2 linked regions of the Schizosaccharomyces pombe genome follow. Changing the gene in region 1 together with any one later gene gives a genetic interaction. Each region holds a gene or a part of one and is shown in the gene's direction. Other genes may lie near its edges.

Evidence for each region. A genetic interaction does not mean that the proteins touch.
Region 2: of dna2 (region 1) and cdc27, a mutation in one rescues a mutant of the other (synthetic rescue), as found in Schizosaccharomyces pombe (2 studies listed by BioGRID, with this or other methods).

Annotation. Positions count from the first base shown.
Region 1 is NC_003423.3:3,591,345-3,599,732, reverse strand, and holds dna2 (DNA replication endonuclease-helicase Dna2), read left to right. Parts: upstream 1-2,776; 5' UTR 2,777-3,040; coding exon 3,041-3,398; exon of another isoform or gene 3,399-3,443; coding exon 3,444-6,237; intron 6,238-6,285; coding exon 6,286-7,000; exon of another isoform or gene 7,001-7,022; intron 7,023-7,047; coding exon 7,048-7,374; 3' UTR 7,375-7,442; downstream 7,443-8,388. Other genes in the region: cell wall alpha-1,3-glucan synthase Mok13, read right to left, coding at 1-1,765, 1,806-2,162; kae1 (EKC/KEOPS complex N(6)-L-threonylcarbamoyladenine synthase subunit), read right to left, coding at 7,487-7,946, 7,987-8,388. UniProt on the Schizosaccharomyces pombe protein: Key enzyme involved in DNA replication and DNA repair.
Region 2 is NC_003423.3:1,060,447-1,065,884, reverse strand, and holds cdc27 (DNA polymerase delta subunit Cdc27), read left to right. Parts: upstream 1-2,460; 5' UTR 2,461-2,507; coding exon 2,508-2,561; intron 2,562-2,610; coding exon 2,611-2,666; intron 2,667-2,722; coding exon 2,723-2,889; exon of another isoform or gene 2,890-2,943; coding exon 2,944-3,011; exon of another isoform or gene 3,012-3,067; coding exon 3,068-3,175; exon of another isoform or gene 3,176-3,249; coding exon 3,250-3,915; 3' UTR 3,916-4,167; downstream 4,168-5,438. Other genes in the region: fol1 (dihydropteroate synthase), read right to left, coding at 1-1,685; pre-rRNA processing protein Esf1, read left to right, coding at 4,315-5,438.

The DNA of each region.
Region 1 (8,388 bases):
GAATAAGTATTTTAAATCCCCAGGGTGGGAATTCTATATTAGGAATACACCCATAGTAGGACTTTAGATTAGAAGAATATTTGTTTGATTCCTGAAGTATATATTCTTCGAAAGGATAGATTAAATTTTTGAGAGTCAAACCTGAAGCATATGGAGACACAACGGAATTAGAGGAAGAGCATTGATAATCGAGTGTAGTCGTTCTATTTTGATTAGTATAAAGTATCCAAATGTCTCCATTCCAAGCAGTATTATTACGGGCATCAAAATTCTGCAACGTCTCTAAAGCACCGCGGACTATACTCCAAACCCCAACTTCCGTAGGCGTCTTTCCGCTATTAGGAAAATGTACATATTCAGTCCAATTTCTTAGTTTAACTGATTTCCATCCAGATTTTAAGGCCGGGTATTGTTCCCTAATAAAGTTGAATATCTTGAACATTTTTAATTCGGGTTTAGCAAAATCAAAGTGGTCCATTATATTCCAATCATCATTACACCCTTGATATGCCTTTATGACAGGAAGTTCTGGATACTGATCAGATGCCAGTGCATAACAACCATGAACTTTCCATGCTATAGATGAAGGCATCGCTTGGCGACCGTAAAGATAATTGTTTGCTGTATTATCCAGTACATAGAATCCTTGTTCATCACCATAATAAATGGAGGGTGCTCCTGGAAAAAGAAAGTACGTTATCATGGTTCCTAATAGCAAACGTTCTAATCCAAATTCAATTGCTGACCATCTAAAAACATCATGGTTAGTAATCCCTAGCATGTGACGCGGGTCAACTTTATGAGTGTTAGGATTATAAAAGTCTTCATTAACTGCCATAGCATTCCACAAATCTGTAAAATCTACGGGAAGATCATGACCAACTTGCAGATCTCCGTCCATTTGCAGAAATCTGGTCATGGCACGGTAGAGTGAATAGTGAAAAGCAGAAGCATCTAGGGCATTCGCTTTAGGTTCCCTCAGAAAGTAGTTTTCTTTAAGGGATGATGAATTAAGTGAAGTAAGTATCGACGGAGGACGTTGATCTGGTTGACGACCACGACCGTAATAAATTGAGCCATAACTTGAAGAACCAGTTACTTCACCAGGTATAAAAAAATTCTTTTTATTAAACGTTGCTGCACACCCCCTCACAGAATGAGCCCATGAAGCAAGAAAATCAACTGTAATTTGAGTAGCTTTATCAATACGAAAACCATCCACATCTAACATGGCAATGATCATACATGCGAAGTGTTTTAACTTTTCTGAAACCGATGGCCTCCATTCTCTAAGTCTATCTTGGACAGAAGCAAACTTTGAAAGCTGACGTTCCCAATCAGGATGAGTACCAAAGGCTTCTGTATCGCCATACTGATCGAAATCTGAATCATAACAACCAACATAATCAATCACAACAGGCGCGCCATCTTCACCCCAAAATCTGGGAAGCTCACACTTTGGGTCATATTTATTTGTGAAATTCCAGTCTGGATAAATGACGTTGCTTTTCCACACCGCCTCATGTTCAAATAAAGAAAATGGAGTAGTACTGTTCAGATACTTCCGAAACCCTATAAGATCTCCCAACGTAGAAATTGTAAGGTCCAGAACTAAATAAAACCCTCTACGATGGATTTCTTCTATCGTGTCACGCCATTGTGCAATTGTTCCAGAATGGTGATCGAGGATGGTGTAGTCCAGTGGTGAGTACTGATCAGCACCCCATGGCTGATTTAAAAATGGTGTACCGGCGATGTAGATAACCTTATTCGTTAACGAGCATAAAAGCATAACTCTATCTTACCTTTATTCCCATAATCTCCAAATAATCTAGTGAGTCTTTCAGGCCTATTATATCCCCTCCGTTTCGAAAACCAGTTTCATAAATATCATACTCATAAATAGTATTGTTAGCTTCATTATTTCTAGGATCACCATCTTTCCATTTATCCAAAATAACTGTGTAAAATGGCACTTGCCAATCATCTGGACTGGGATGGTATTGATGGTTTTCCCATTTTCCCCAATAATCTAGAGGATCGGTAGCTGATTGATTTTGGTTTAAATTCCATAAAGATTCTCTTTCATCATATTTAGCAGTAAAGACCAACCTTGGTATACTTAATATCAAATTCAAGACGAGAATATTCTTATTTCGCATCGTTTATGGTATTTCCTCAATTGACGTGAAGAAGCTGCCCTGTTCAAAATAGTTTTATTAAAATTAATGCGATCGTTAATGCTATTATATATGAATTTATCAAGATTTTTCCCGATTCAAATGATGGTTGCTTCTAAATACGAGAAGAGTACAATAACCAATAAGTCAACTTTTTGGAATGTAAACAAACAAACGAACCTAAAAAATTTATATTAATTTTTGCTTACACATGCATTTCTATTTTAAAAATAAATTTTAAAAAAATTAAGAAGGAATTTTATTTTATAATTAAATCGCAGTTTGCGCTTTTGTATGCAAACGGTCATTCAGTTAATAAGCTTATACTTAAGAAGAGTTGAAGCGAATTTCGATACAGATAATATTTATTAATTATGTATTAAGGAAAATCAATAATTTTGCTTTCATCGGACTTGGTTTTAGTTCAATTTACCTGTGAACGACTTCACAAGGTTCATTGTAAAGATTACTGGCACATATTCATGTGTAATTTTATTTAAAATCAATCGAGAACATGACTGCGGAAAACCTAAGGAAATAAATTAACTAGCATTGTTGGCGTTAGGGAACCGAGTATCTATAAAACTGAAACCTCCGACAACCATACTCCAAATATCTATTTTACGAGCATTGCCTATTATTTTGAGAATAAGCGCAGTCGTTAAGGCTTTATTTTAATTTATTTCTATTTATTTTTTCTTTGCATTTACATCGTTGATCATCATTCTTTTTCACGTGTTTTAGTCGTTCTTTTCAAAGCTCATTACCTGGTTGAATTTTAGCCTGGTTATTTGAGTATAATTATAACAAACTTTTTTATTTTTTAATGTTTATTGCCTTCCTTTTTTTGTAAATTAATAATGTTCAACGACCAGTCGAAAACAACTTCATCTGTGAAAGGTATATGTGCCACTACTGACAACAATCATGGTAATTTAAAAAAAACTAATTCAACTCCTTTCAGGAAAAACTATTTGCTAAATGGGAGAACTAAATTGAAGCTGGAAAATTTTGCGTACAATGCATCTACAGAAATTAGTTCACCTAAAATCTCTGAAAAAAAGCATTCTTCATTACCAATTAAACGAAAGAATACTTTTAATGAATCCTCAACATCTTTTTCCCCATTTACTAAAGCTCATAAAGAAATTACTGACGATTTAAAGCCTGACAAATCTTTCACGCGGAAATCTGACTTGAATAGCCAAGACATGCCAGGTATGATTTTTCTTGTATTCAGACGTGTATTTTAACTTTTAGAAGTATGTTTTCAAGAAACTTCGAAGGATTTGTGTCGTAGCTCTTCTACTCAACATTTGCTGGATCATCAAACGACGGACTCAACGATTATAGATATGAAACCAGTGTCAACGAACTCAAAATCTGATGTGTTTACATTATATACGGATGAAACTGTCCTATTACGACGATGTGCTTCAGATAATAAGCCACTGATAAACAATAATTTGTCGAGTTCAAATGTTTCGGAAAACCAGAGTAGAAGCTTCGGATCGTATGATGAAGTAAAAAACCAAGGAAATAACCTGCATAAAGTCCCTAGCTTGGTGTCTATAATTCGTAATGCAAGATCATCTGAGCAATCAAGAATTGCTGCAAATTCCAGTTGTCTTCTCAAAGGATCAGATACCGAAATTGACGAGGATGATTTTGCCTTAGAAGCTGAAGATCTGGCAGCATTAGATTCCCTTGAACGCCAATACTCACAATTACCTAATTCTACAGTAACTGCTTCTGCAAAGGACATAGAAAAGACAGCTAAGGTCAACCATGTGGGAGGTGATTTGCAATCTTATTGTTCAGCAACAAAAGCATCTGATGCTACAATAAATGAAGAACCTGTGAACCTTGCTCTTGATAAAGCTTGTAATTCATTGCCGGATATCAATAGCGACTTTATCGATGATTGGGATGATTCGTGTGATGGATGCACTCCTGGTGAATTGTGCGAGTTTTCCTCCGAATACACAGTATTAGAAGTTCACGAAGACTTCATTTTTCATGAAGGGAATCACTTTCGACAATTAAAGTTGATTTTGGAAGCAAATGATATACTGCATCAGTTATTTTTACGCGGTGATTGGACTGAGACTAGTATTTTTGTAGGGGATTCTATCCGTGTTGAAGCTACATTTGACAAAGATAATACCGCTATCGTTGACAACGATAAAGGACTTATTATCATACATCCGAAAATTTTAATGTCTGCTACGGCAGTGGCCAGCTCTTTTCCTTGTTTGAGGAAAGCCGTAATATCTGACAGGGTTGGCATTTATGGACCTCCTACAAAAGCTATGGTAACTGGAAACATTTTACATGATTTTTTTCAACACGCATTATACAGAGGTATTGATGCCCTTGAAAATGTTGATATCAACCTTGAAACATCAATAAAAACATACATCTCTGATATCTATTTTGCTGATTTGTCGCTCGATGAAATTCGAGAGGAACTTGATGCGAGGCTTCCCCTTCTTAAATCTATTGTTGAAAGATATTTAATAAGTAAAAAAAATGACAACAACAATGAAAGTATTCACATTTCAAGGCTTCTCGATATTGAGGAATCCATATGGTCACCCAGATTTGGATTAAAAGGTAATATCGATGCTACAGTTGAGGTGGTTTTAACTGAAAAACCTGAGTCTTCGTCAACCCTCACACTTCCGTTAGAGCTTAAAACTGGCCGATATGTCGACAATATTAGCCATTTTGCTCAAAGTTTGCTTTATACATTACTCATTTCAGATCGTTATGGTATCAATACTAATCAGGCATTATTATGCTATTTGGAAAATAGTACTATCAAGAATTTGGTTGCAAGTAACTCCCAACTTCGAGGGTTGATCATGACAAGAAATTCTCTTGCACAGCATAACTTTAGGCGCAGCCTTCCTGAAATGATTTCGAACCGAAAAATTTGCGATCACTGCAGTTTAGTTTCTGAATGTTTGTTCTTTCAAAAGATGAGTGATAAAGGAGTAGCTAATAGTAACGGCTTGACTGAGTCATGGAATGAATGGATGCGCGAAGTAAAAGATGAGGATCTTGAATTTTATAAGAAGTGGGAGAAGTTATTAAATCAAGAGGAACGACTCTTACTACTAAAAAGAGGCGATGTGTTGACTTTTGATACAGAAGAGCTAGAAGCTTATGGAAAAACTCTGTATCCTTTATACATTACTAAAGAGGATATCGTTTGTTTAGAAATTGATGACAGGGTTTTTCATTACAAATTCGCTTTTTTAAATGACAATGGTTATCCTCGAAATTTCTTGCACTCAGGCTTCAGCGTTGGTGAACGAGTATTTATTTCTGATGAACATGGACACTGGTCACTAGCTAAAGGACACATAGTCCATATTCAAGATTCATGTATTGAAGTACGAACTCGTCATCGACTTCATATTCCATGGCTAAAGATGCCTAACTTTGATTTCAAAAAAAACCAGGTATTTTTTGGTAACTATGAAGATTCCAAATTGTCATTTATCGGAAGTAACCATACGAGGTACAGAATTGATAAGGACGAATTTTCGAGCGGAATTGCATCAATAAGAGGTACCTTGATGTCTTCTGTATTACCAGATGCTCCCTTAATTATAAGGGACATGATTATCCGTTTGAAGCCTCCAAAATTTTGTAATAGTGCATTAATCGATCCTGAATTTTTGAAATGTTTAAACGAAGATCAAATTACAGCTTTAAAGAAATGCCACGCTGCAGAACATTATAGTTTGATACTCGGAATGCCTGGAACGGGGAAAACCACTACAATTTCTAGCTTAATCAGATCATTGCTTGCCAAAAAGAAGAAAATACTTCTTACTTCTTTTACGCATTTAGCAGTTGATAACATTTTAATTAAACTGAAGGGTTGTGATAGCACAATCGTCCGCTTAGGATCTCCTCATAAAATCCATCCCCTAGTAAAAGAATTTTGTTTGACTGAAGGAACGACGTTTGACGACTTAGCGTCATTAAAACATTTTTACGAAGACCCCCAAATAGTTGCATGCTCTTCTCTAGGGGTATATCAGTAAGTAATTGAAAGCGACGGCAATGAACAAACTACTAACAACATTAGTTCCATTTTCAATAAAAGAAAATTCGATTATTGTATAATTGATGAGGCATCCCAAATACCTCTACCAATTTGCTTAGGCCCTTTGCAGCTTGCTGAAAAATTTGTTTTAGTTGGTGATCATTATCAACTTCCTCCTTTAGTAAAAAATTCAAGAACATCTAAGGATGGTTTGTCGCTCAGTCTATTTAAATTACTATCAGAAAAGCATCCTGAAGCCGTTACCACTTTAAGACTACAATATCGTATGAATGAAGACATTAATTCATTATCTAGTGAACTTATTTATGGCGGCAATTTGGTGTGTGGGTCCAAGACGATATCCCAAAAAAAATTAATTTTGCCAAAAGCTCATCTAAGTGATGGTTTACCCGATTCGTCGTCTAGCCTACATTGGGTCAACAAGTTAATCAATCCTAGTCATTCAGTCATATTTTTTAATACCGATGATATTCTGGGAGTTGAATCAAAAACTAATAATATTCTAGAAAATCATACTGAAGCTTTTTTGATAGAACAAGCAGTTTCCTCCTTCTTGGAACGAGGCGTTAAGCAAAGTTCTATCGGGATAATTTCAATTTACAAAAGTCAGGTGGAGTTGCTTTCTAAGAATCTTAAATCATTCACTGAAATAGAAATTAACACTGTCGATCGTTATCAAGGAAGAGACAAGGACATCATTTTAATATCTTTTGTGAGATCCAACAGTAAAAACTTAGTGAGTATTGAACCAATTATTTACACAACTGCTAACCATTTATTTAGGTTGGAGAATTGCTACGCGATTGGCATCGTTTGAACGTTGCTTTAAGCAGGGCGAAAGTGAAATGTATTATGTTTGGCTCGTTATCTACTCTTTCGTCTTCAAATATAGTTTCTCATTTATTGAAATTATTAGAAAAAAACAAATGGATTTTCACGTTAAATGAGAATGATATAGCAACGAAATTTGACGAGAATAGCTCTCCAATTAAGGATTGTTCTCAGGTTGCAACGACAAATAATGCTAAAGTTATTATTAGAAAGAACCAAAGGTTTTTTAATAGTGACAATTTATGTGAAAAAGCTATTTTACCTCAACTGGAATTTTGATAATCTACTTCAAAAAACTCAATATTTTACTGGATACGATCTTCATAATGAAGAATGTATATATAAATGCCTAAAATAAAATTCATCTGATCCTTGTTCATGAATATAAGTATTAATCCCTCCATGATATATAAACATCGTCAGTACGATATCTTTGAGTAATCGTCGATTCTGCGACGGCACATCGGTCCCCGGTTTTATAAGCCAACAACCCTGCTTGGGCTATCATTATACCATTATCAATACAGAAACGTTCATCTGTAGAAAAAACATCAGCGCCTCTATCCGAACTCATTTCAGCCATCATTTGTTGGAGACGTTCATTGCATCCAACACCTCCAACAATTAAAACAGAATCAGCTCTGATATGTGCCATCGCGCGTTCTGTAATTTCAACTAGCATTGCAAAGCCAGTTTCCTGTAAAGAGTAACAAAGATCTTGCTTTGTAACAGAACTCGGATTTTTTGGGTCTAATAGCTCTGTAGCTGCCGCTTCAACCCCTGACAACAATCCGGAAAATGAACAATCCATACCTTTAACAGTATAGGGTAACTCTATAAATCTTTTGCCTCTAGGAAAAAATTAGTATAAAACATCAAAGTGAGTCTTACTTTTTTGCTTCTTGCATAATATTGTAACCAGGTGAAGGTGCATTGGACAAACCAATGATTCTGGCAAATCGATCCAAACAATTGCCTATAGCAATATCAAGCGTTTCACCAAAAATCCTATACTTCTTCTCTGAGTATGCAATTACTTGAGTGTTTCCCCCAGAAACATAAAGCACGACAGGATTTTGTGCACCCGTAATTTCACGACCCATTTCAATGTGACCAATACAATGATTAACTGCTACTAAAGGTTTCTTGTGAATTAGTGATAACATCCTAGCACAAAGAGCTACACTATTCAGAGGAGCACCGATTCCTGGCCCCTTTGTGAAACAAATGCAATCAATATCTTTAAAAGAAATTTTTGCCTCAGCAAACGCTTGCTTAATTAAAGGGATTATC
Region 2 (5,438 bases), 2.5 Mb from region 1:
TTAGCACCTGCCTCAATGGCTAGTTTTGCAACTTTTGAATAATAAGTATCGATACTGATGGGTACTGTAATCCCTGAGCTTCGAAGTAAACTAATCATAGGTATTACTCTTCTGAGTTCTTCCTCAACAGACACGGGATCAGCTCCAGGTTTAGTAGACTGCCCACCTATATCTAGGATAGAAGCACCATCTCCAACCATACTTTTTGCTTTTTCAAGGATATTATTCTGCGAGACTTTACCACCATCAGAAAACGAGTCGGGGGTCACGTTCAAAATTCCCATTGTTAAGGCGCCATTAATGATTTTTTTGTTGTCAAAAGATGAGTACAATCTTATTCCTTGTGAAGGCAATTTATCAAGAGCTTCTTGTAAGGGCTGATGGGTATAAGGGTGTACTAAGTCTGGGCTCAAGGCCAGCAATGGACGTAAAACAAACTCACGTTCTTGCAGCCCTAAATGGGGAATAGTCAAAACTTCTGATTCATAAACACAATCTTCGTACAAGACAATATCGAGATCTATACACCTTGGTCCTTTTAAAATTGTTTTGATTCGACCCATTTCTTGTTCAATGGATTGACAAGCTCTTAAAAGATTGATAGGCGACATTCTGGTTTCAATTTTGCAAACACCGTTCAAAAAAGAAGGTTGGTCTTTATAATACATCGGCTCTGTTTCGTACAAAGGGGAAACATCCAACACACGAATACCCTCTATTTTATGCAACATAGATAATGCTGTTTGGATTTGCTCAAATTTGTCACCAATATTTGAACCAAAAGACAAATAAGCAATTTTGTTCTTAGTGGATTCGTATTTATGCAGAGACTCTTGTAAAAAGTACGACCGTGTTCGATAAATTTGCACCGCAGAAGCATTGGCGAATGTGATAGCACTAGGTTTCTCAGCTTTAATGCTTATATCGTCTAGATTCTTTGTAAAACAAAGATACTTTGAAAGATTGACAACCAAAGCTTCTATAGTCAGGAAAGCAGATTGTTCGACATATTCGGCGATTGCGCGCGCGATCTCTAAAGCTTCGACCTCCGTATTTGCAAATGATATATTTAAGCAAACTCTTTGCTTCTCTTGTCGTTCAAATGCGTGAATTCCTAATATCGTAGCTAACTCCAAATCCGAGAATTCAATACGATCTACAAAGTTACTGGTAGAATTGCGTTCGCGCTCAGCATAATAGTGCAATCCATTTTTAGACCTTAAAACACATTTGGGTAAAGTAAGCTTAATAGAAACATGCGAGGTATCAATAACGTCTTCAAAACATAAACTTGCAATTTTATTGACCAAATCTTTAGGGGTTGTAAAAAAAGACCCTTCAATTTCTTTTCGTAATAGCTTAGAAGCTATACCGTAATGAATCGTTGATTTTAACTCGTCTTTTTCTCCAGCTAACTGAACATTGTTTCTCATATATACATCAATTTGCACTGGCTGAGGTTCCTTTCTTTTCCATTGGTCTTGACCCACTACAGCAAATGTGTTAAGATTTTCAACTACGACAGTGTCATGTATCAAGTCCATTTGTCTAGTAGGATGTCGTAGAGATGAGAAGCGGAGTTGTCTGGGGATAGTGCTGACTATTCTAGGTATTTTGGCAAAACCATGGAGAGAATTATTTCTAATGAATGGATAGATTCCCCAAAGGTTTACTAAACTTTTCATGAGAGTTTAAAGAATTGATTATCTATATTGGAAGTATTTGCTGAAGCGACCAACACCATGATAAGTAAGAATAAGCAATACCTACGGTATCCTGATGTCAATTATCTAAAATGAAGGCATATGGGATAAAGAATTGTAGCATTATTTGACTGTTATTAAATTTAATTCATTATTGAATACAGCTGGGAATATGTATATACTCTGATCATTTCTATGGAGCATAGAGCGATACTGAGAAATAATATTATAAGAGATTTGTCAGATGACTACATTAATGTGCTACAAATCATTATACCCGAAAATAGAAATAAGGGAGAATCAAGTTTGATTAAATATAAAACATTCCAACAACTTTGTGAAACTCAACCTTACGCTATCAGCTTAAAAGCAGAAGGAAATTAGTAGAGAAAAAAAATCAAATTGCCATGTTCAAAATTAATAAAATTTGAAAAACATTCTACTAAAAAATGCCGTAAATTACTAAATCAATTTCTGTCAGCGTTGATGAAGTAACTTCCCATTCAATTTTAAATCTTTCATTAGCATACTTCTATGAACTGGATAGCAGCAGTAATTGAACATGCGATGTCAATATTTAGATTTTAAATATTTTACATATTGTAAATGTAGTTAAGCATGTATACTCCATTAATGAAAATGTAATCTTTCATACATATTTCGTCTGCGCTGGCTTCAGTACTTAGCCTACCTTAGGATTGTTCCCACTAATTTTCAATTTCGTTGATTTTACACACTGCTTCTTATTCTCGTAAATACCACTTTCCTAAGGAATACTTAGCGGAAAAAGAAATTTCTAAAAAAATGGAGGAATGGAGAAACTTCTTAGATATTAAAGTTATCAATGAATCTTCACTTGTAAGATATGAAATTTCAACAAGAATTTGAATGTCTAACTGTATAAAAGGTAACTGTAGATAATTTAAGTCTGCAATTGGATATATCCAGTGAAAAAGCACAAGAGTAAGGAACAATACGCATTATTTTTTATTTTTATTATTAATAATTCATACTTTCAGATATCTTAATATGTTTTATCAAGGCAACGATTTTTTGTATCCTATATACCTTATTCATGGACAACCTATAGATGATGAAATTAATTTGGAAATTGACGAGGAATCTCAACCTATATCTAATTTTCCTGTTTTGCAATACATTTTGTGTGATAAGTCTTCTCTACAAGGTTTGTTATTGTCAATTCCGATCATTCGATAGCAGATTCGCTAACTATTTGTAGAGAAACAAAGTAGATTGAAAAGTGGGTATAAAACTGTTATATTTGCTCTTTCATCTGCTCCATTAAGTGTAAGTATTCGATAAGCTGTATTTTATATTGTTACAAACTAATTGATTTAATTAAGGATTTTGACGAATTATTACCTGCAGTATATGAAATAAGAGAGAAAGATGTTTTATACAAAAAAGAAGATGCTGATAAGTATGGATTTATTTTCAATGAAAATTCCGTGGTAAGTAATTTATATCACAACAATCGTTGTTTGACATTCGATCCTTCCGTCTTCGGAAGACTAACTTATTGTAGCCTCGTGTTTTGAAAAAGGCACCTTCAACTCATTCCCCCCAATTATCTGTTCCCTCAAAGACATCGACAATCGATAAGACTGACACACGTAGTACAGAAAAGACTAAAGGGAAAGATATTTTCAGTAATGCAAGGAACCAAAAGGGAAACTCATCTCGTAAAAATAAAAAAGCTCCTCTTGAAAATCATAAAGAAAAGGAGCCTCTCTTGCCAAAGGAGGAGAAGTTGTCTGAGCAAGCAAAGAGAGAGCGCGATGATCTGAAAAATATTATGCAGCTAGAAGATGAATCAGTATCTACCACTAGCGTTCACGATTCTGAAGATGATAATTTAGATTCTAATAATTTCCAATTGGAAATTGGTACCGAAGCAAAATCTGCTGCACCTGACGAACCTCAGGAAATTATCAAATCCGTATCCGGTGGAAAGAGACGTGGGAAAAGAAAAGTTAAAAAGTACGCGACAACGAAAGATGAAGAAGGATTCTTGGTTACTAAGGAAGAAGAAGTCTGGGAATCATTTTCTGAAGATGAAAACATCTCAACTGGTACTTCAAATGTTGTTAGAAACAAACCGACTACTGTAAACATTGCAACTAAGAAGAAGAATACTGCACAAAGTAAACCACAACAAAAGTCTATTATGTCCTTTTTTGGAAAGAAATAAGTTACTATTCATTTTCGATAGTATTAAAACATGTGTTCACGAAGTCCCTTCAATTCTCATGCAAGCTATTATCAGGAGTTTTATTCATATAGAAAAACTGTTAATGTTAGTACAACCTTTAATCCTAATCTACTGTTTTTAGTTTTGTTTACACTATTCACAACCAACTATGTAAGTCTAAGAGAAGTCGAAATCAATTATCAATACATCTTTTAATTTTAAATATCATAAATAAATATGTTTCCTCAAAGCATAGAAGAATCGATTCTTTTTTTTATTAGAAGTATTAAATACTCCATACATTAATGAACCACAATGCGTTAATGTGCGTTAACTACAACACATAATTTGAAAGTTGAACTTCATATTTAGTCAAAGCCTTGTATATTGGAAGTAGTCATGGGCAAAAAGCAGACGAAGCCTATTAATGCTAAATCAAGGAGTGAAAGCAACGTAGTTGCGGATCCTAGATTTCAATCAGTTCACTCTGATCCTAGATTTTCTAGACTTAAACGTGGCAATTTTAAAGTAAAAGTTGATGAGCGGTTTAAATCTCTCAAGGAGGATAAGGACTTTAAAACTACTGCCAGTGTTGATCGATATGGCCGTCCTCTCAACCAAGATAAGGCTACTAAAGAGATTGATAGACTGTATGAACTGGAAAATGAAGGGTCGTCCAGTTCGTCTGAATCATCGGAAATTACTGACAACGAAGAAGTCGCTTCAGCGTCTTCGAAATCCACAAAATCGGAAGAATTAACCGATGAGGAGTCCGAAGATGAGGAAGTATATGATCCAGCTCGTGGTGAGGGAATTATTAGTACTTCGGAAAGTAGCGATGAAAGCGACGCTGAAAGTGAAACTGAAGCTCAACCGGAGATATCCGAATTAGCTGGAATCGAGCCAGAAGAGAATATTCCTCGTGGTTCAGAAACTAACCGTCTTGCTGTAGTAAACATGGATTGGGATAATCTTCAAGCAGTTGATCTTTTTGTTGCTCTTTCTTCTTTTTGTCCTCCTGGTGGGAAGTTACTGAAAGTGTCGATTTATCCCAGTGAATTTGGAAAATCCAGAATGGCTGCGGAACATGTTCAGGGTCCTCCACGTGATATATTTACTCCAGCTGACAATCAACCTTCTAGCGCCGAATTGCATGAGGCTCAAAAATTTGGTTTTGATAACAATGAGTCTGATCAAGATGAGGAAGATGCTTTAATAGAGGAGGATTTAGGCAACGAGTTTGATATGGTAAAATTACGCCAGTATCAATTAGAAAGGCTTCGTTACTATTACGCAGTAGTGGAATGTGATAGTGTAAGAACGGCAAAGGTTATATACGAAACTTGTGATGGCGCTGAGTATGAAACTAGCGCTAATATTTACGATTTAAGATTCATTCCAGATGATGTTACATTTGACGACGATGAATCTCGCGAAGTATGTACTAAAGCGCCCGAAAAATATGAGCCGAGAGATTTTGTCACCGATGCATTGCAACATTCAAAAGTTAAACTTTCGTGGGA